2 linked regions of the Lonchura striata genome follow. Each later gene encodes a partner of the first gene's protein in a complex. Links are inferred from orthologs where the notes say so. Each region holds a gene or a part of one and is shown in the gene's direction. Other genes may lie near its edges.

Region 1 (10,574 bases):
TATATGCTGGCACTATTTCGTATTTCACCTGCTGTGATGGGTTGACCTCAGGCAGCTGCTAGAACTCCACCCATCTCTTCCTTCTCTCACACCCACAGGCAGGGCAGGGTTGAAAAATAGGATGGACAAACTCATGGTTTGAGATAAAAGCAGGGAGATCACTTACCAGTTACTGTCATGGACAAAATATATTTGACATCAGGAAAAATAAATTATTTTATTTAAATATAGAAGATAGAATAGGATAATGAGGGAGAAATAGAAAACTTGATTGCACTGCCTCCACACCCCTTTCATCCAAGGCTCAACTTCACTCCATCATCCCCAGCTCCTCCACCTCCCCCACAACAGCAGCACAGAGGCAAATCCAATAGGGGCTGCAGTCAGCTCTTAACAAGTTGTCTCTTCCACTCCTGACTCCTCAAGCTGTTTCCCTGACCGAGAGCAAAGCCTGTTAGCTGGGTGTTCCACTGAGCCAGAGTGCACTGGGAAAAGCCAATCTCATCTCCAGGTCAGGCCAGGAGAGCAGTGACACAGAGCAGGCAATCCTGTCCTTGCAGGCAGTGGGCACAGAGGACACGCAGGGCTGGAGTGGGCAGGGGGCTCTGCGTGTTCACACAGAGCTATCAGCCACTGCCAGACAGGGATACAGCCCATAATACACCACACAGCACAGGGCCACAGCAGGAAAGGTAAACCAAAATAGAGATAAACCTATGTATCGCAGCCATTTCACTCAGTGAATACCAAAATATTTGTGGCAGGTTTGCAGTATTGTTATTTCATTTTTTGCAGCCAGTTTGTGTACCAGTGTTGGATATTTTTCTGTTCCATTAAGAGTATAGAAATTTGGTAGAAAATAAAGCCCTTGCTGGTCTTCAGAGATCAAAGGGTATGGGTGCAGCTCGGCTTAATTTCTGATTATGACAAATTCAGCGCATAAGTCTTGTCATGTTCAATAAGAACTTTCAGAGTCACAGAATCACAAATAATGCATTTTATTGTAGAAATACAAATTGAGAATTGCCACTAATAAATACACTCATTGGATTAGCTCTAAATATATTTAGAAAAAGAGAAGAAGAAAAAACATAAGAGGAATGGGTAATTCATTAAGCACAACTTCACCATCAGCTAGGCCTGTGAACAGAATTTCACCAGGGTACAATCTGACACAGTTGAAAGAGCAAATCTCAACAAAGAGATGTTCCCTGCCTTGGGGAGGAGAGTGAACCAATCCTGTTGTCCTGTCTGCACAGTGGGGTAATATTCTCATCCTCTGCCAGGGAGGATTTCAAATGCCAAGTCTATACTCTTGGGAGAAGTGCAGGTGAAGCTGCAGTCAGAATACATTATTGCTGCCGTGGTAAATGGTGGTGGGCAGCCAGCTGCTATGGAGATGAGGGATACCCAGGGTTCTGATTGCAAAGCTGTGAGTCTTGGGCAGAGGCTGAACACCTAATTAGCATCACCCCACTGAGCTCAGGCAGAGGTTAAGGGCCTCTGCCTGATGATCCATCCCCCCACCAGCAGGCTCTCATGTCCACATTAATCCTTTAACCACACAGGGGCTTAGGCATCATTCCTACCATCAGGGCTAAATGACTTTGTTAACAACAAAAATTTATCTCAAAGATTTAGCTAAATCTAAAAATGATAATAATCTATTTAGCTCAAAATAATTGAGGTCAATAGATATGAATGAAACGTTATTAACTTGGATGTTGAAGACTGAGCATCAGAATCATCTACACTGCCTGGAGAGCTGCAGCAAAAATTCAATTACTTGTTTTCTACAGTGAAAGATCAACATTTTGCATGGGCTCCAGCTTTTATCACAGTTCCTACTTTGTGGAAAACTTGCACTTTACATAGGAGAGAATCTTCAGCAGTGCCTTTTCCAGCTTGGGATTGCTGAAAACCAGAATAAGGGAATGAATATCTGGAAAAGCACACAGATATATGGATATAAGAAGTATCATGGTATTTTCACTCTTCATGGAATAAATTATTGTTAAGACCAAACATACAAAGTTGATGCTGTACATCACTAAGAAGGAGAGGACAGATTTCATGGCTCTGATGTGGGCATCCACGCTGAGGTCCTTCATGGAGTTTGTCTGCATCTTGCGCTTGTGTCTCCAGAGAGAAAAGAGAAGGAAAACAGCAGAAAAGATGACTGCCATGAATGAAGCAGCATATCCAAAGCCAGCAAGGAACAAAGATGAGAAAAAAATGTTTATCTGTTGTGATTCTTGCTTCCCAAAAATTTTCTTGGGAGGTGAAAGTGAAGTTGCCACTCTGCAGAATTTCAGCGATGTCATAGATAACAATGCAACTTGCCAAGGCTAAAATCTCTGACCCCAACAAGAGCCAGGGCACCATCCTGTCAATTTTTACTTTCAGGTAGATGAAGAACCGGTTCCTGAAATTGGCAATTTTTATGCAGTAGAAACCACAAAGACAGGCTGAAACCCACAAGCTGGAATAATTAAAAAAGGTTAAGGAAGATGCAAGTACTTGAAATATCGGGCGAACATAAAGGTAATTGGGACAAATTATTGAAAGGAAGTAGTTTACCCATGAGAAGCACAAAAAGGAAATCCTGGAGCATCCCAGCAGCAGCAAGATCTTCTCATTTGAGTTCAGTGTTTTCTTTTTGACCCAGGCAATGCAAAGCACACAAATGATAAAAGCATTTATCCACACGCCAGCAAACACCTCCAGGGAGATGATGGCGAAAGCCATGATCCCATATGAAGTGACATTGGATTTCTGTGAAGAGTGACAAGCTTCCATGCTGTGAGCTGGGGAGCAGAGCTGTGCTGGCCAAGGGCGCTGTGGCAGCAGAGCCTGAGGCCGGTCAGTGGCTGCTCTTGTGGAGTGTCAGGGGTGGCAAGAGGAGCTTGACAGAGCTGCTGCTCCTGCTGCTGCTGCTGCTGCTGCTGCTGCTGCTGCTGCTTTTGCTGCTGCTGCTGGGGGGATTTTAGCAGGGCAGGTGCAGGGATGTAAATGTGCTGGGTATCCCCTTACTTGGGGCCAGTGTCACTCTTGACTATTTGAATGTTGGTTTTGGGGCGTGTGTTGGGTGACACAAACAGCAGAGATGTTTTTCTGTGGTGGAGAGTGCTGTGATTTTGAGAGTGATCCCTGTTTGATCAGTGTCAGGCTTGAGGATCTGGGTTATTCTGTCTCTTTGTCACCAATGATGATCTCTCAGAGTGGAGCTTGCACTGAGCAAAGCACAGCCAGGGCAGTGGGGTGAGTAATCAAGTCAGGGAATCCAATTCTGAAATACCTTCATATTGATCTGCTCTACCCTTTGTGTTTTGTCTCTTCCTACCAGTATGAGCTCAGTACAGGCCAAGAGAATATATAGATATTTTCTAAGTAGTTTAGGGCATTATCTTTGTTGCTATCTGAATTTATATACTATTTTAAGTTTTGAATAATACAGGACTAAAAATAAATGGTACACTAATTTTAGAATCAAATGTATCTGTCCTGTATTTTCTTTTACTGGTCCTGAGCTCCAAGTTGACAACATTTCAGATTACATTATAACATGCAATAAAATTTTCCACTGGTACCTGAACAATGCCCTGAATGTCCAAAAGCCTGCTTGTTTGTCTCAGCACTATCAGTTTATCTAATAAGATATTATCTCTCTATGACCTTTTCCAAAACTACTCCAGGTAGGGAATTTTGCTAACACCTTTCTGCTCTTTCATCCAGGCAGATATTTTTATATATGCTCATATTTTTAATGTACACTTATTCATTCTTTCTATCTAGAATTACAGATATTTATAATACTTTAAAAGCAGAGCAACCACTGTTTTTATCCTCTGCTGTGTATTTCAGATCTGAATGCTGAAGTTGTTAACCTGGAGGCATTTCACAAGTTCAGTCTTTTGTTGATTTCAAGCCCTGCAACGGTAAACAGACTTACCTAAAAATTGGGAAGGTGGATGGGTAATTTTTTTTATTAAAAAATGTGGTTGGTGCCAGCCTGATATGAGTGCTAGTTTTTTGAGCTCAGGAGACATTTGTTTTTGTTCTTGCTTTTATGAAGGAAATAAATTTCAGCCACATTTCTGTGTCGGAGTTTTTCTGTGTTACTGTGGAGTTAAAACCAGCGCAAGCAGATTAACAAAAGGTATTATCTGCATTTAGTGACACCGGGTAGTGCCTGTGTCTAGGAATCCAGGGTGGACCTTGTCTGTGGGAATACTGATGCACAGCAGTTTTGGGCACTTCATACAATGTAGTGTAAGAGACCAAGGGGTACCTGCTGTACTTCCCAGAGTGGAATAGAAGCAGCTTTACCCATCACCAAGTTTTCACAGAACTGCAGCTAATGGAATAATGTGCATGCACTGCTCTTTCAGGGAGGACAAAATGAAACTGGCGCTGGAGTCCCTCTGCTATGGAGACAGGCTGGGATCTGGGGCTGTTCAGCCTGGAGAAGAGAAGGCTCCAGGGAGACCTTAGAGCCTAGGCCAGTGCCTAAAAGGCATCCAAGAGAACCCCTATATATATATGAAAACAAATATATGCCCTCAGAATGACTTATCTTTAGACATCTGCTTTAGGTGCTTGAGTTATTTTAAAGTTAAGGGTACTAAAACCCAAATGTTTTTCAGACAGCTCTACTTTTGCTTCATTTTTTTATTTTTTGCTTACTTTCTCATATCCACTGCCAAACATCTGGAAATATGGCCTTGGTGCTCTGTTTTGATTCTCTTTGCTCGCCTGTGAAAACAGCCTTGACATGATGTATCTTGAGACATGCTTATTTTACGAGTAGTAAGACCTGTTCAGCTTAGGTGTCAGCAACAATCATTCCTAAAAGAAAGTGTTGAAGAACATTCATTTATGTTAGGTGAAGGATTAGTGCTCTGGGGCCCTTCTTCTCTAAACAAGAAAAGATCTCTGCACTTTTTCCTCTGAAGTGCTATCTCTTATGAATCGATTCCTACTTTGATTTGTTTAGAGAAAAATATGTAGCTTAGCTTGAAGGACTGACTTCTTTCTAGAACAGGCCCATTTCCTATTTAAAACCTACTTACTCAAGCTCTCTGCCTTGTGCTGTGGGTAGTGGTGTCATGGCACAAGCCCTTTTCTATCTAATTGCTGAACACAGAGGTGAACATCCTCACATGCATGACTTGGAATTGCAGATGTGAAATGGAGGAGCAGGATTCTATGCCTAAACTAGAGGCACTCAGGCACTCCAGGGCACATGGGAGCTGTGGGAATATTGATGCACAGCAAACTAGAGTTCCATGGAGCCCTTCCTGACCCACGTCCCTGAGAAAGAAGATAGCAAGATGCAGGACAAGAGTTTATGATCTCTGAAGCCCACCTGGAAGGCCAAGGATTACTGCTCTAAAGTGACTGTTCTGGAGGCAGGGAGTGGCAGGTTGTGCATGGAGCATTAGATCTGGGGTGGGATCAGGTGAGGAAAGACATTTCAGGGGACTCATAATCATATCTCTCTTACTTCTAATCTTTACAATGTAGTGTTAATTATTATTTGAAAGCAGAACTGTGCCAAATTATAATGGCACTGAAGTGCTATAAACCTGGAGTAATTCTGCTTAAGAGTAATCCAAAACATTTCTGCTTTTTTCCTGTGCAGTCAAGATCATAATGCTGACAGATAACAAACACAGGGGAAGGAGTCAGCAACTTTGGGCCAGATGGAGAAGCTGTTATGTGAAGCCTGGGTGGGTCTTTCACCTGCTGCACTGAAGACATGAAGTTTCCACATTCCTCTCTGCAATGTTCCACCAAGTGGACTTAGGTAGCTGATAAGACCAATGCCATTAGGTGCCATCTAGGAGAAAATCTAACTGGTAGAATAATATTTCAAAGGTGGAAAGTCTGATGCTTATTGGCTGATGCTCCATGGAAAGCTCAGCAACGTGCCCTATATATTGCCAGAGAAGAGAGGGACCAGCTTCTGTTCCCATTGCAAGAATGGGCTCCAGCATCTTCCCACTCTGCCTGACACTTCTGCTGTGTTCTGTCTATGGTTCTCCACTCTCTGTAAGTAAAACCTAATTCTACAGGCTCCTCTCAGTCCAGAGGCATCTCATACCTTATACGGGTTGTATTCCATTCTTCTCCAGGTGGGACAGCTCTCCAGTGAAACTGGTAAGTGCTGTGTGAGCTGGTTTGAGTTTTGAAGCATTTCCTTCTACTTGCTGTGAGCCACCACATCCAAACACTTTATGTTTTGACTGTCTTGCAGATGCTGGAGCTAGTGAGATATTCAAAGACATTCCCCAAATCAACTTGGGTGAGTTCACACTTAAATTCTCACAAGGCCTGAAAAGTTGTGAGCATTATGCTGAGTTTTCAGTGTTGTCAAGGAGGCTGATAGCCAGGTAGCTCATGGTAACAAGAGAATTAAAATCAAGTGCGCAAGGATTACATTTCTCTCTCTGTGACACCTGAATATTTCCAGAAAGAACTCTGCAGTCTCAACTGCATTTTCTGCCCATCTCCATATGATTTTTATAAAGTGTTGTAAACATGGAAAACAACTTAGATTGGTCACTGTCCAATTGTGTGACTCTTGTCACTGCCTGAGAGCAAGCAGAGCTCATCAAAGCTCTATCCATGACCATAGGTAATTGTGCCAACACTTTTATTATTACCTGTAACTCAGTGTATAGAGGCTGGTCCTTATTTATCTTCTGTAGATGCCCAAGGACATTAACTTTGTATAAGCAGGTTCAATGTGGTTTATGGAATGAAATATAATTGAAATTCATTGACACTATCTTTGATTAAATTCTATTTCAGCTGCTGGACTGGACCTCTTTCAGGGTGATATCTTGCTCCCTGTAAGTAATTAAAAACTTTCTGTTGCTTGTCCTAATTGTTTCAGCTCATCTCGCTACAGTAGATGCATCACCAACTGTTAATTCCCTTTTCAGAAAAATCAGCGAAATGCCTTAAGAAATGAGGCTTACAGATGGAAGTTCCCCATTCCCTATATTCTGGGTGATGACCTAGGTAATGCAGATACTTTATTCAGATTTTATCTCCAATCCTTATTTGCACTACAGTCACTGTGATAAAAAATTTGCCTTTTTCAGAACTGTTTCAAATTAAAAATGTTAAACTTCACTAATAACTACTTATTGTAGTCTTGTTTATATCAAAATTATTTTTCTTTCTTCTACAGATAACACAGCAAACCATAACTTAGTCAAATTAAATAATTTCTCTTTTCAATCATTTTTCCTTTGGTTCCACATGTGTATCTGTACATATTTTGCCCCATCCAAGGTGAACAAACTGCAATGTATTAAAGGTTCTGTCCTTGTTTTCCAGACCTGAATGCCAAAGGAGTCATTCTCCAGGCATTTGAAATGTTCCGCCTGAAGTCCTGCATTGATTTCAAGCCATATGAAGGAGAAAGAACCTACATTTTCTTTAGGAAACAAGATGGGTAAGGGTAGTATCAATTTCTGTTTAGTTTTGCCGTGTAGAATCAGCTGGGAACTCATTCCATTTTCTAAAGGTTTGCTGTCAGCGGAGAAAAAGAAGCCACCGGGAAAAGAACTCATTCTATGTTCTTAGACTAAAACCTTGCAAGCAGCTGCTCCCTCTGCTGTTATTTAGAGGATGAGCTCTGAAGGTGAATCCCAGCCTGTCTGGGTTTTCCATTTTGATGAAGACCTCCGTGTACATCCTTTTAACTTACCAAGAATGTGAATGTGAATAGCTAGAATTTAAGTCTGGAAATTATTAGAAGATGGGAAGAGGAGAGGGAGAGGGAGAGGGAGAGGGAGAGGGAGAGGGAGAGGGAGAGGGAGAGGGAGAGGGAGAGGGAGAGGGAGAGGGAGAGGGAGAGGGAGAGGGAGAGGAGAGGAGAGGAGAGGAGAGGAGAGGAGAGGAGAGGAGAGGAGAGGAGAGAAGAGAAGAGAAGAGAAGAGAAGAGAAGAGAAGAGAAGAGAAGAGAAGAGAAGAGAAGAGAAGAGAAGAGAAGAGAAGAGAAGAGAAGAGAAGAAGAGAAGAGAAGAGAAGAGAAGAGAAGAGAAGAGAAGAGAAGAGAAGAGAAGAGAAGAGAAGAGAAGAGAAGAGAAGAGAAGAGAAGAGAAGAGAAGAGAAGAGAAGAGAATTTATTGTAATATTTCTTATTGCTTTGACATGGCTCTTCTTTAATGAATAGTCTCTCAAATTCTGAAAGGGTTTTATGCACAGAGATTCAAGTTTTCAAGAAGTGAAAGGATTTGTTTCCTACAGCTAAGTATGTTTTGAAAGAAAATGCAGAAAAGCACAAAAATCTTCTCACTGTATCAGCTGTGACTATTACTTTTTCCCCCAGAAGTTCATGTTTCTGCCTTCAGCTCTTCCTTGAGTGTCCTATGACACTTCTTTTAAAAGTTTACAAGCACCATGATTTTTGACAAGTCAGCATTGAAGATCTTAATACTAGAAATGTCCTTTCATACCTCTGGCAAATGCAAAACACGGTTGCTGTTAAAAAGGACCAAATGTTGCTGTTCCAAATACTCCTGGGGTCTTTTCTCCAGCCCAAGTTATTGCAAAAACGCTCAGCCTGTTTTGATGAATTTACTATTTCCATGTATATTGTGTGCTTTATGCTTCTTGGCCAGATGGTGGCTGATCAAAACTTCTGTGGCTTTCAAAAGTGCAGGGTGATCTTCTCTGACACAGAGGATAAGTAATGAAGTGATAGTTTCTGGGCATTAGTCTGCTTTCAGGCTAGAGTATTTTTAGAATATCAAGGCACATGGTCAGCATCCAAATAATGATTTATGTGATTCCTTTAATATTGAAAACTTCTATAATCTTACTCTAAATCCAGTGAGCAAATTGAAAAGTTAAACACAGAGAAGAAAACTACTGAACAGAGAGTAAACTCTCTGTCTTTCTTAGGTGTTGGTCCATGGTGGGGGACCTGCAGACTGGACAGAACCTCTCGATTGGGTCAGGGTGTGACTACAGAGCAATTGTGGAACATGAGATCCTGCACGCTTTAGGATTTTACCATGAGCAGTCGAGGATGGACCGGGATGACTACGTGAATATCTGGTGGGATGAAATTATTGCAGGTGGGTTTTATCGTTCAAGATAGATTTTGCAAAGTGTAGATTTATCAATACCCCATTTTCACTTCTAGATTTAAAGACCTTCCTAAGGATAGAATTTTAGAAAATTTAGAATTTCAGTGGGCCGCACCTGAGAACACTAAATTAAGAAATTTTGGTGCAACTTCTCTGGTCAAACCCAGACATTGTTTAAGGCCAGAACAGAGAGGCCTCACTTGGAAATCAGGACTTTTATTTCCCCTTGGCTCTTGGAATGCTCTGCTCTCTTATTTTAAACTAATTACTTGCCATCTATGAATCTGTTTCCTTTAATCATGTAATGTAAATTGTAAACTTATTTAGATGATGAGTTTTGAGATAGTTCTTCTGTAGGCAATGATCCTTTCAAAATCTGAAAGGTTTTTATATTCAGAGACTCCGGCTTTCCTGAAACTGAAAATATTCACTTTGCACGTGAAAAAGCCCTTAAAATAATTAGATTGTATGGGAAATATCAAATAGGGTTCTGTCCTGCTCCCTCCTACCCGGTGTGTCTGCAGGTTCTTGCCTTCAGGTTTAGTATCACCATATTTAGGAGCTTTATGAGTTTCAGCAAACTCTTCACAGTCCCCCTGATCCCTAGACAGTTTTTCCTGTTGTTCTCTGTAAGATCTGATTCTGTATTATATAACAATGACTTATTTGAAGAGGACAAAATAAAAGAGAGGGGGTTCTTTTAATTTTTGATAAAAGGTGCAATTCAAGTCTCTGTAAGAAAACAATTCCAAGCTCTTATATAATCTCAAGCCTTGAACTGAAGATCTTTGTGATTTGCAGAAGGGAGGGCAACTGTTAAGCAGAGCAAGTGTAGTTAACCACCACAGTCATGTGCTGTTTTGTCTTTGAAAAACAGTGTCAAATATTCTGATAACATTATTTGCGATAGTAAAAGCTGGCAAGCTCTTTTTACTTCTATACCAAAGCATGTGAAATGGCTCCCTCTCTTTGCCCTAGCACACACCTTTCTCTAAGGACAACTTATTTCACCAAGAAAACATGAGAAACATGTTTCCAAAAGCCATATCAATACAAATATCATATCAATATTGTAAATCTAGGGTAAAAATATCCTTCTTTTTTCCCCAGAAATTGCTAGGGCATTATTTATTTCAAGGAAGAACCAAACCTGAAGACACTTCCAGGCTGTCATATTTTTTTCCTTTGAGTTTCAGGGCCTCTCCTTCTCCATATATGATCCAATACCTGGAAAATGTTTGAATCAATATTCACAGATTCTGGAATGGAGTACATTAGTCCCTAAACTTAATCTTTCAGGATCATTACTGTTAAACCATTCCTATTAATTCTAATCTATCCTCCTTTATATCCCATTCTTTACAGCTCATTGATACTCATTTTTTAATTTACTGAAGTCACCTGTTAGAGCACAGAGCTGCAATCCAAAGGCACTGCTTTGTTGTCCAAATGTCAAACACAAAT
Region 2 (10,956 bases), on another chromosome or scaffold:
TGGAAGAGCCAAAATACAGGTAATTTCTACAGTTATGTCTAGCCTTTCACGTAAACATAATACTTCATCTACAGTAACTGTGCGCTGCTACCTAGTTATGTTTGCAAACAGACACAATTTGCTTGCTTTAATTCGCCCTCCTGATCTGCTTTTAATTTCCCAACTATTATGTGTCATTTTAGCCACAGGATTCCCTTTCACTCCAGTGGGAGATGAAGCCACAACATTTGCCTTTTATCTTTTCTCAGCAGCTCTGCAGTTTCTGAGTGCAAAGTCAATCAAACATTTTTCCTGTTTTATCAGTATCACCCAGGACACGTTGTTGTTACTGAGTTTGCTGTGGGTGCCACGAACTGCTCTGCAGAAGAAGCTAAAGCCAACGTGGGGGCTTGTCAGCTGCTGCCCGAGGATCAGTCTGTGAGTATGGCAGCACATCAGCCCCAGCCTCCCCAGCTCTGAGCTACAAAAGCAGCCTCATGCTGGGATGTGCATTCGCTGGAGCAGGAATAAACCCCTGTGGGGATCAAAGTGCAAGAGATGTGTACCATCATGATATGTTTTTCAATATATCATTCTTAAAGCTATATCACACCTTTCTCTTTTCTCTGAGGTATTTGGACTGAATTCTCATGGATTTGAATACATTTGAAAAAAGCTTGAGGATCAGAGACAGAATATTTTTAATGGATAGACTATATATTATTGTTTATTCTTAAAATGAGCACCTGAGAAAATCAGGCTTTTTGTATTGGACAGTACACTGTCACATTAAAAAAAAAAAGCAGACCATTTCTCCCTCTTACAATATCAGTGCACTCAGTTCTGATATATATGCTCTTGAGAGTTATACTGTATACTTTTTATGTCAAAATTCTTCTATTTCTGATGGGACTGAGTCCTAAGCAGTTTTAGGGGGTGGGAGCTCTTTATCTAGATTCTTATATATTCTTTCCTTCCCTCATATCCAGACATACAAAGGATCATACTATAGAAGAACACAGGAGTTTCCCTTATTTGCTGCTTAGGCATTTAAAGAGGTTTTTTTTTGGGGGTTTTTTTTGTTTGTTTTTTTGTTTTTTTGGGGTTTTTTTTGAGCCCAGCAGGCTAAAAACCAAGCACTTTGCTGCTCAGATAAAACACAAGAAAAAGTTGCCATTTCTAAATGTGCTGAAATTAAAAATTCTGATCCAGCTTCCCTCTATCTTCTAACTATTTTCTCTTAACTATGTTCTATTTTGCCAGAATTTTGGTTTCTGCACAGCAGTGATGGTAAAACGTCCCTCACAAGACCTTCAGGTGGACTGCCAGTTGTATGGACATCAGGTACCAGCTCCAGATATTCCCTTGCTTTCCTGGGCATTCTAGCCTACTGGTACTGTTACATGGCATCATCTTGAGTTTACTTCTCTCATTGTAGACTGCATTGGCCACCTGTGATAACTTAACTTTGTATCCTAAAAGCCAAGGCAAGGTAGCTGCTGAGTATCCCATGGATTTCTGTGCTGGGAATTAAGCCATGTCTGCCATCCATGCTTGACACAATTTGCCCTCTTGACCATCTGAGAGATTCACATGTCTGTCAGGGCAAAGGGAACCAAACTCTGCTCAGTTAAAGGGAAGGGGCAGAAAAATGTAAAACAAAAATCAGCATTGCGAGGCTGGAGGCTTTTAGTGCTTAGACATGACTGAATTCAGGGACCTTGTCCTGCACTGCTGTAGCAAGGGGAGGGAAATGTGCACCTGACCTGAGTACTCTCAGGTATTTTAGCCTACATTTGGTCTCAGGAGGACTAGGTGGTGGTTGAACACTTCCTATGGACAACAGGTCTTGGTAGCTCAACAGTAATTAATTAAAAGGTATGGGAAAAAGAGAATGAGACAGCTGGTCTTGAATGTTTCATCAGCTGTGCAGGTGGCTCTGAAATATCATATAGCACAGAATTTGGTCCTAATGATTCATTGGCTATAAAAAATGTGTTCCTGGGTTCTTGTGCATGGGTTCCAATGCAAATCAGACTTCTGTGATAGTCAGGAACATTTGAACCTGGGTTGCAGGCCTATAGCTATTTAGGAGCAGGGTACTTAGTAAGGTATCAATTACCTGTATGTGAAAAGCCCCAGGTCCCTGAAAACAAACATGACCTGTTTTTATTTTCCAGCCTGGAGTTACCTACGCTCATCCAGGTCAAGACACATCAGCAGGACTGGCACCCAGTGCTGTAGGTGTCACAAACCATAATCTTGGGCTTTTCCACAATAACCCCGTTGCATCCGAATCCAGCTCTTCAGAAATTTTGCGTTCCGCGCTCGCAGCAAAATCAGTAACAAAGAGAGCAATTGCAGTGGCTGCTCAGCATGACAAAGTACCTCGCCCAGTTGGCTTTGTGCCTCTTCCTCCTCCCTGCCCTGGGAAGATTCGCCATTTCGATATCTAGGCTGTGTTTCAGATATGCAGTGCAGCCAAACTGAGGGATCAGTGCAACAGCAACACACAGACCACAATATCGACTACAAATGGGTGAGAACGCTTGACTCTGAGCCTGAATGAGTTTTACTCTCCAGAGAGCAGAGCCATGGCCAGAGTCTTGTAAAGGCCTGCTCCAAAATATAGATGATTACAATATATAGCCGTAGTTTACTTTACATAGAGGGCTTCTCTAGTTAAAATACAGAAAATATTGTTTCAGTGAAACTGTTGTAAGAGCTGTACAACAGTTGTAGCTTTGTGACAGAAGAACCACCTGAAAGGTTAGTTCACAATAAAATGTTCAAAGCTTTGCTACCTTCTATCTGTATATATATTCATTTAGTTGTCAAGTATCTCCTTCACAGCATTATGAGTCATATTCTGGGCTTGATTTCAAAAACACTAAGCTCCTGCACTTCTGATCAGCTTCACTGGGATGTGTGGGTGCTGAGCACTGCGGAAAATCAGGTCAGTCCTCCCTTTTGATCACACACCAGTAACATTAAAGAGGTGGCAGGAAAAAAAGTACTTTTCCCTTCCACTTATAATGTTTCCCACCATGTACCTACTTTTGATATGCACCAGAAGTACCTCAAAACTTTTGGACATGGCACAAGAGCATCCATGTCTATGAAAAGAGCAGAGAGTCAGGAGGACACTGTCATTGCTGGCAGGCTGAAAGCATCAATCCCTGCAACCAAACACATGTGTATTGTCTGTCTTCCAGCAGACACACAGGTGCAGTATAATCATGGGGTCCTGCACGGTCTGTGTGCATATGAGGAAGTGCCAATTCAAGGGAATAAAAAATATATGACTGGCATGTATCTCATATAACAGGACCCTGACAGGGATGGCAATTTACCATTATTGTAGTAGTCAAATCTTCTCTGAATTTCTGGCACATGTTAGAGGCAGAATCTATTCTAGGTAGAGAATTAATAAGGGGCTGGGGCCAGAAGGATCTTTACTGCCAGCCAGACTGGAATTCTGCAGGCCCTGGGGAACAGTCTCAAAGACAGTCATGAATGTTTAACCAGGAACAGCACTTGCTACAAGATAATTATCATGCAGGCAGCAAAAAATTGCAGAACACATGTCATTTCTGAACTCTTTCAAATAACCTGTCCTGTTCTCCTAGTTACAATCATCCAGTACTTAGTAAGCAACACAACTAACACTTGCTCTTGGTGCTAGTGCAACAGCTCACAATACAGAAAGGTTCTGCTCTGCTGTGTCAATGGGGAAGGGGTAAATCATTGGCATTTGCACCAGTGCTTCAGCTGGGTGTGTAAAGAAAAGGAAAATCAGCCCAGACTCTATAAACCACAGCCTAATGTTATGGGAGCACACTGAGGGCAAGCTCTGCCTGTGAAGATAGCTGCTCTCACATTTCAAGCAAATGCTGAGTTTTGCAGGAAGCATGTTGTGGGCAAATGCACCAGCCACAGCCAGTCAGTGGCTCAGGGAGGTTTTGCTTCTCTGTAGAGCAGAGACTCCAGTATAACCTGCATGCAGCCATTCCATCAAAAAGTGCTAATATTAAGCTGTAGAAATCTCTTAATGCAGTAAGATAGGAGGTCTTCCTATCTCACTGCATGAGACACAGCACAGGATTTAATGAAACTGCAACTATTTTGTTTTGCATCACTGTGACACCAGATACATGAAACTTTTCAAAACTAGGAATCACCATTACTAAACCATAGAAATTGTCTTCTATATAATGAAATAGAAACTAATTCATAGAAGAGAGAATGTTTTCCAGGCTTAGAAAATCTTCTTATAGCAGAAACAATGTTTATAGAAGGGATCCCTGCCCCTGAGGTTCCCTGAAATCCAGAAATGCTGCATTTTCTTGTTGCCTTTTCAAACCACATAAAGAAAAGATATGTAGCAGAAACATCTGCAGTCTCCATACTTCACAGATGTTCTATACCTGGTGAAACAATCCCTTGCTTTCTAAAACAGGAAGAAAAAAATTTTCTCTGTGCATTCCATTTTGGTAGCTGCACTTCATTTTCTTTCTCCTTAACACTTGTCCTCTTAAGGACACATCATGCCTCCTTACAGATCTGTTTTCGGTGACTGCTTTAAAGCAACCACTTTGTCTCCCACCAGTATAGCCCCATTTTCATGCACCTGGGCCTTACTAACAGATTCACTACTTAACAATTGATTCTCTGGGCAATGAGACATATGAAATGGTGGTACATGAAATACAATTCCTTGAAATGTAGCATGAAGAGTTTTGCCAGGTCTGCATTGCTGGCTAACAATGTTTTTCCAGCTTTTTCAGAAGCTGTTTCGCAAAAGCTCATATACTTCATGTGCTGCTTTGGCTGAACATGCTTGGATTTCCCAGCTGTGTCCATGTTTTGAGGTCAGCTACTTCAACAGAGAAATTTTTCCTTTCCAGGCAGAGGAAGAGTACAAAGAACAGAGTCAGGGATATAACAATCCCCTATTATAAGAAGCACCAACACAGCCAGTACTAACTGGCACCCATCTCCATAGAAATGCCATGCACTGTAAGGATAAAGAAAATGAGTTATTATCCTTTAGCCGCAGGGGAAGCTTCCCCAGGCACAAGGAACAATGGGAGCAAGTCTGCATTGCTGCTGCTGTAGTTCCTGTACTATGGCTACAGCAGTGTTTCTCAACATTCACCCCTTGTATCCCAACATTCACCCTTTGTATCCCATCCCTCTGGGACACAGTCTGTGCATTATCCCTCACCCGACACGTGAGGGGCTCACTCCAGCAGCCATGTGTCCCTTCTGTCCTGCAATCGGGGTTTTCCACCAAACAGTCTTCTTAGAAGAGTTTCAGCTCCAGTGCTGTTGCAGGTCTTTTGGCTGTATCTATTATCCCAGCTTTCTATGCACATTCCCTGGGACATATTCTGCTGTCTCCCAGATGGTTTAAATACTTCTGGGCTAAGATTCTTTACACAGCCAGTAAAAAAGTGGCAATGTAGAAATCTTTAACTACTCCAGATATCATAGTAGTATTGAAGAGACAATTATGTCCTTCACTTGCATTTTTTCTTCCTCATTCAATACAACTTTCAAACTTAAAGGTACTTGGTGTCCTCCAGCAGAAAGGTGCAATCACAGAGTCCCATGACAAAAAATGAGAGCCAGGGACCTGGTGACCCAGCTTCTGATATCCTTCAAGGTGAAATGCTTAAGAATTGCCCCTTAGTAGAAAACCAGTGACATTGAACTGGGATTCTCTCCAGGTAATGGTCCCTGGTCCCTACCCCTTCTCCAGATCTTCAAGATAGAAGCTACTTGTAAAGCTATTCCCCCTTGTCTCCATCATGGAGTTCCTGACAGGTTATTCACAAGGCACACTGCTGTCATTTCAAACTGAAGTTTCTCCGGGAAGAATTTGCCATGACCTTTGAGGGGTGTCAATGCCTCCAAGGCTAAGTGGTAGCATTCAACTGTAGGCATCCAGATGAGTAGAAATGCTCACAGCATGAATCCAAACTGAGCTTTCTATCACAACCAAACTGACTGCATATAATAGAGTCAATGTAATGGTTTAAAATTGTCACTTAACAAATACAAAGTGCAAAATCAGTCAACCTTGTGGCATTTATCCATTTTCTGTTCAAATTACTGAGACCCTTGTCTTCATTTTATTTGGCAGAAGAACTGGATCACTGACAGAACAGAACTGGAGCCAGGCCTGTTCTGCACAGAGATTTATTCAAACAAATCTGGTTTCTTAAGGAAGCAGATTTGTGTGTGTATTCTTATACCTTGCCATGAGGTCAAAATTGCATGATCTGCCCAGTGAAGTCAAATTTAGAGATGGAAAGCCAGAAGGAAAAAGTGCTGTCTGGTCTCAGAGGGAGCAACAACACTTCTGTAAAACCTTGTAATCATTGACTTAGTGTTTACTGTTGCAGCTGTAGGTTTAAAGGTGATGGTCAGTATGCAATAAAAAGGGGGCACAAGTTTATAAAGAGACACAGCTCCACTATAAAGATCTGTTATCTCACTCAGGTCTCAGCCCCTCTGTCCTGACTGACCACCCTCATCTGCAGCACTGGCTCTCTAGGCAGAATGGTTTGGCTTGTTTGGATGCTCTTTGGCATACAGGTGCTTTGCTCCTGCACTGCTGCCCCTCCTGCCCAAGGAGCAGGGGCTGCCCTGCTCTGCCCTCGCTGCGATGACCCCGCAGTGGAGGAGGCTGCAGACCTGGCTCTCCGCCAGATCAATGCTGACCGAGAAGAGGGCTACGTACTCAGCCTCTACAGAATCATCAGTGCCCTAGAACAGCCACAGGTAAGTCACCCTCTTGCTCAATATATGTTCCTCCCTGTGTCTATTTCTCAGAAATATCTATTTGAATAAAGAAATATTTCCAAAGGCAAATGCAAAGCTCTATTCACAGGACTCCAGAGGCCATGTCAACTTTATGCACAGACTAGAAACAATTTCATCACACTGTGGGCAATTAGAGAGCAAATCTCAGTCATGACTCTCTGCTGCAGGCCCTTGGAATTGCTCCAGGCATCAGTTCAAATTTGATATGAAACACCACTACTCTGATTTAATTTCATTTTACACCTTCCTCCCACTGCCTTGAGCAGTTGGAGTGCAAAGGCTAGTAAGTCATAGTGTGTTTTGCACAAAAGATATGAGCACTAACAGGTGTAAACACATCCTGCTTGGGACCAAGGAATTCCTTCACAGACCTCTAAAAGATGACTCATTCTCCAGAAGAAACCTGAAACCAGTTCAAGGGCAAAAAATGCACTGGAAATACCTACAGAATATCACTCCCATTTCCTCAAGTATCGTATTTCTCTGTGTGTGCTTAATTTATGACAATTTTGTGCTACAATAACTGAATCTATTGGCACTAACTAGGGACAGCCTGAAATGAATTCACAAGGGCCTGCAGCAGATTAGGCACTATGGAAACCTGCTGCTGGCATTCCCTGCAATGACTGGTCACTTCCCATAAGCTTACCTGAAAAGCTCACTTCTGAACTCTAAAGAAAATTAGGCTCATTGCCAGATGCTTAGACCTGTGCTAGCAAGGATATGACATTTCTTCCTGCTGCTCTTACAAGGACATGGCTCCTGCAGACACACTGTGGACTCCAGCAACATGAGATTTCACAGCTAAAGATGCTCTGCTGTGTTTTGCACTATGGTCTCTATACTGCCTTGCTCAGGTGACAGAATGTGCCCACTGAACAACTGGATCAGGTCTCTTCAGAATTTTTCTACATGATGCAGGTGAGCTGGCCCAGAATCCACATCAGCAAGCAGGGAGCTAGGTGCTCAGACCCCTTCCTGGGGCTATTTCATGGAGTTTGGTACTCAGACCCCTTCCTGGGGTTATTTCCTATTGACAATAATTAGAGCCCCCTATGACCACTCTAGAGTGCAGCATGGTGGGGGCAGACATGCTGCAAACCACCCCAGTCCTCTCCCTACTTCACCCTTCACCTGAGCCAAAGATATCTCAACACTGGAGATTTTTGATCCTGTTGCCTTCAGGGGAAGGCAAGGCGACCTGGTTTCAAGGAACAGCATGGCAGCCCAGTCTCCCCTGGGCCACTCGGGCCAACGACACACGCAGGCACCAGTGTGGTGGACGGTCGAAAGCGTTTATTATCTTATCTCATGGGTTTAAATAGTCTTGGGGGACTCTGTTACGTCAGGGGGGGTTGGTAGGGTCTCTAGGGTTAGTCAGGAGTGGAAAACTACTGGGTTAGGTGTGGTTACATTCTTTGGGGTAAATGGATAACATGTTGCAGGGTGAGAGGGGGAAGGGGTCTTTCTTTCCGTCACATCCCGAAATCTTCCGTTCGCCTGTCCCTATCTACTACATCTCCCCCCTCCTTTTCATAAGTAACATGAGGTAGTCGTAGATATAGGCACTGGAGTGAGGTACAAACTTGTAACTTGGTAAGGAAAAAAGGGTTTTTGGTAAACCTGAGTAAATCTCGCAAGGTGAGTTTTGAAGGCTTTTGCAGCTGATTGTGTTCGCACTTTTTGGTTTACAGCATTTGTTGCTGGCCCACGAACAGAATGTTCGCCCGTTCTAGACGGGCCTGAACAAATGAGACTAGCTTGTTCAGCAGGCATGGTCCTATGGTAACAGCTAAAAGCAGTATTGCCAGTGGACTTACCAGGGCAGAAATTAAAGTGGTGAGCCAAGGTGATTGATTGAACCAGGATTCGAACCAGCTCTGCTGGGTTTCCTTGTCTTTCTTTCTTTGAGCCAGTCTATCTCGGAGTTCTGCCATAGAGTCTTTAACGACTCCTGTATGATCTGCATAAAAGCAGCATTCCTCTTTCAAAGCTGCACACAGTCCTCCTTGTTGCATGAACAAGAGGTCCAGTCCTCGCCTATTCTGTAAAACTACTTCTGAAAGCGAAGAGACTGATTTCTCTAGATAGGAGATGGATTTCTCGATCCTCTGCAGGTCTTCATCGATGGTCATTTGCAGCTGAGAGAGTCCGTGCTGTCGGGTCGCGATGGCTGAGACACCTGTGGCTGTACCAGCTGCTCCCAGGCCGAGCAGCATTGCGATAGTTATACCTGTGATTATTTCTCTTTTGTGCAGTCTGTCAGGTTCTTCGAAAAGGTGGTACACTTCTTCATCTGAGTGGTATAGGACCCTAGGAACAATCAGAACTTGGACACAGAAGTTAATAGAGTCATTAAATTTGGCAAGGAACACACAAGGACTCACTCCGGATCGCTGGCAAACTTACATTCCAGATGCGGATGGGACCACCCACTTACCGATCTTTCTGTTGGGCTTGACAACTTTAGTGCAGAAGTTGCCTTTCTGCTTTGCTAAAGTTGCATTGCCAAAACATTTGCCTTGTCCTGTGATTTGACTCAGGGTGATTCCTCTGCGGGGAGTGTCCCATCTGCACTGGTGGGGGGCACTGGCTGTGGAGTAACTGAAGGGGGTGTTTAAAGCAATGCCTTCGTAGAAAGGGGGTTTAACATCATAACAAAGCCAACAGGAGTTAGTCAGGTTCGGTTTGGTTTCGTTTAGGGTTAGAAAGGTAGTTTCTAGTATATAAACACAGGGGTGTTCCACGGGCTGGTGGAGGGTTCTATGTGACCCTTTTGCAGCTCGAGGTCGACCAGTTCTAGCAAGGCTACTATTCGAGGCTTTGACAGGGGCCACTGCTCGACCCATACGGGGTCTGGTGATTTCTAAGTCAGTTTGATTGGCAGCAGTGGGTGTACGGCAGTGGCCCTTATTATAAATTTGTAATCCTGACTCCTAACATAGCAAGGATGTCCCTTCTTATCAGGGGTGGAGAGTTTTGCAAAATGTAGGGGTGGATTGCTACTGTTTGTTCTGGTCTCTTTTTTGTATGAAGCGTTATGGCTATTAATTGGGTGCTTTTTCAAGCTCGGGACGGCCCTCCCGCTCCGTTCACTGGGGGGACTTCTTTGCATTGCCAGTGTCGGGGCCACAGTGCTTGGGGAAAAATCGAGCAGTCTGCTCCTGTGTCTGCCCAAAACTGAAGCCCTATGACATGGGGGTCTTGACTGCCATAAAGGCGGCACGTCCCCCACACCTTCGGTGGCTCCTTCCCTATTTTCATGGCCAGGGCCACCCAGGGGTCCCGTTCTGGGGCGTCCCCTGCTGACCCTGCGGCACAGGCGCTGCTTGCGGCAGTAGTGGGTACGAAGGTACCGCAGGCTGTGTTGCGAAATTCGCTGGCGAGGGTACGAAGCTGGCTGCCTCCCGTGGGGGTACGGGGTATAAGGGCGCCCCGTCCTACTGGGGGTTGGCATAGATGGGCTGCCTTGCATTTGCAGCGGGAGGAGGCTGGGTGCAGCCCGCACGCCCCCTCCCTCTCCCGTTTCCCTGGGGCCGGGACCTGCATTCCTTGGCCAGATGCCCCTTCCTCCCGCAGCTCCAACAGGCTCCTCTCTGGCGTGTTTGGGGTGGAGGCGCCGCGGCGGGCTGCCGTGTCGGCTGGGGACAGCTCACCGCGATGTGACCTGCCTCACCACACTTGAAACACGCCATGGCACTGGTCAGGGTGTGGACGGCTGCCTGAATGGGTGTCAGGTGTTCTTCCCTCACTACATGTCTGATCATGTCAGCCAGGCTGGCTCCGGCTGGCAGGGAACGTAAGATATCTTTGGTGACAGAGTTGCACTGCTGGCGCAAGCAGTCAGCTACCACGGGGCCCTTTGCCTCTGCCGGCAGGGTAGAGGAGTCTATTGCTGCCTGCAGGCGATCTACGAACTGCGTGAAGCTTTCGCTCTCTGCCTGCCTCACGGTGGACCACGGCGATGGCTTGGCTACGACCCGGGAGGCTGCACGAATAGCCTCCCTGGCAGCCTGAGTGGTCGCCCTGACCTCCTCAGCCCGCATCTGCGTGGCTTGCTGCTGAGGCGTGATCATATCATCGTGCTTTCCCATAAGCCTGGATAAAGTCGATCTGTGTAGTGGCTGCCTCGCGCCAGATGCTTGG

Evidence for each region.
Region 2: the proteins of MEP1A (region 1) and FETUB are in contact, whole or in part, in a cryo-EM structure (PDB 7UAI), measured with the Homo sapiens proteins. The link is inferred for Lonchura striata from reciprocal best matches to the Homo sapiens genes MEP1A and FETUB. Residues at the interface, in NP_005579.2 of Homo sapiens: Asp126, Gly127, Cys128, Trp129, Ser130, Glu131, Val132, Gln145, Gly146, Cys147, Tyr149, Ile152, His155, Glu156, His159, Tyr164, His165, Gln167, Ser168, Leu184, Gly186, Tyr187, His189, Asn190, Asp192, Tyr194, Tyr214, Gln215, Phe217, Ser218; in NP_001362516.1 of Homo sapiens: Phe109, Phe110, Lys144, Lys145, Tyr148, Met149, Thr150, Cys151, Pro152, Asp153, Cys154, Pro155, Ser156, Ser157, Ile158, Ser196, Ser197, Gln198, Trp199, Val200, Val201, Gly202, Tyr205, Phe206, Thr242, His245, Trp246, Phe249, Val250, Ser251.

The regions. Positions count from the first base shown.
Region 1 is NC_134605.1:108,043,646-108,054,219, reverse strand, and holds the start of MEP1A (meprin A subunit alpha), read left to right. Parts: upstream 1-5,985; coding exon 5,986-6,054; intron 6,055-6,137; coding exon 6,138-6,162; intron 6,163-6,259; coding exon 6,260-6,307; intron 6,308-6,816; coding exon 6,817-6,857; intron 6,858-6,950; coding exon 6,951-7,029; intron 7,030-7,350; coding exon 7,351-7,468; intron 7,469-8,922; coding exon 8,923-9,098; intron 9,099-10,574.
Region 2 is NC_134612.1:18,862,355-18,873,310, forward strand, and holds the start of FETUB (fetuin-B), read left to right. Parts: upstream 1-6,392; 5' UTR 6,393-6,546; coding exon 6,547-6,768; intron 6,769-10,956. Other genes in the region: AHSG (alpha-2-HS-glycoprotein), read left to right, coding at 1-19, 304-417, 1,243-1,323, 2,160-2,435. UniProt on the Homo sapiens protein: Protease inhibitor required for egg fertilization.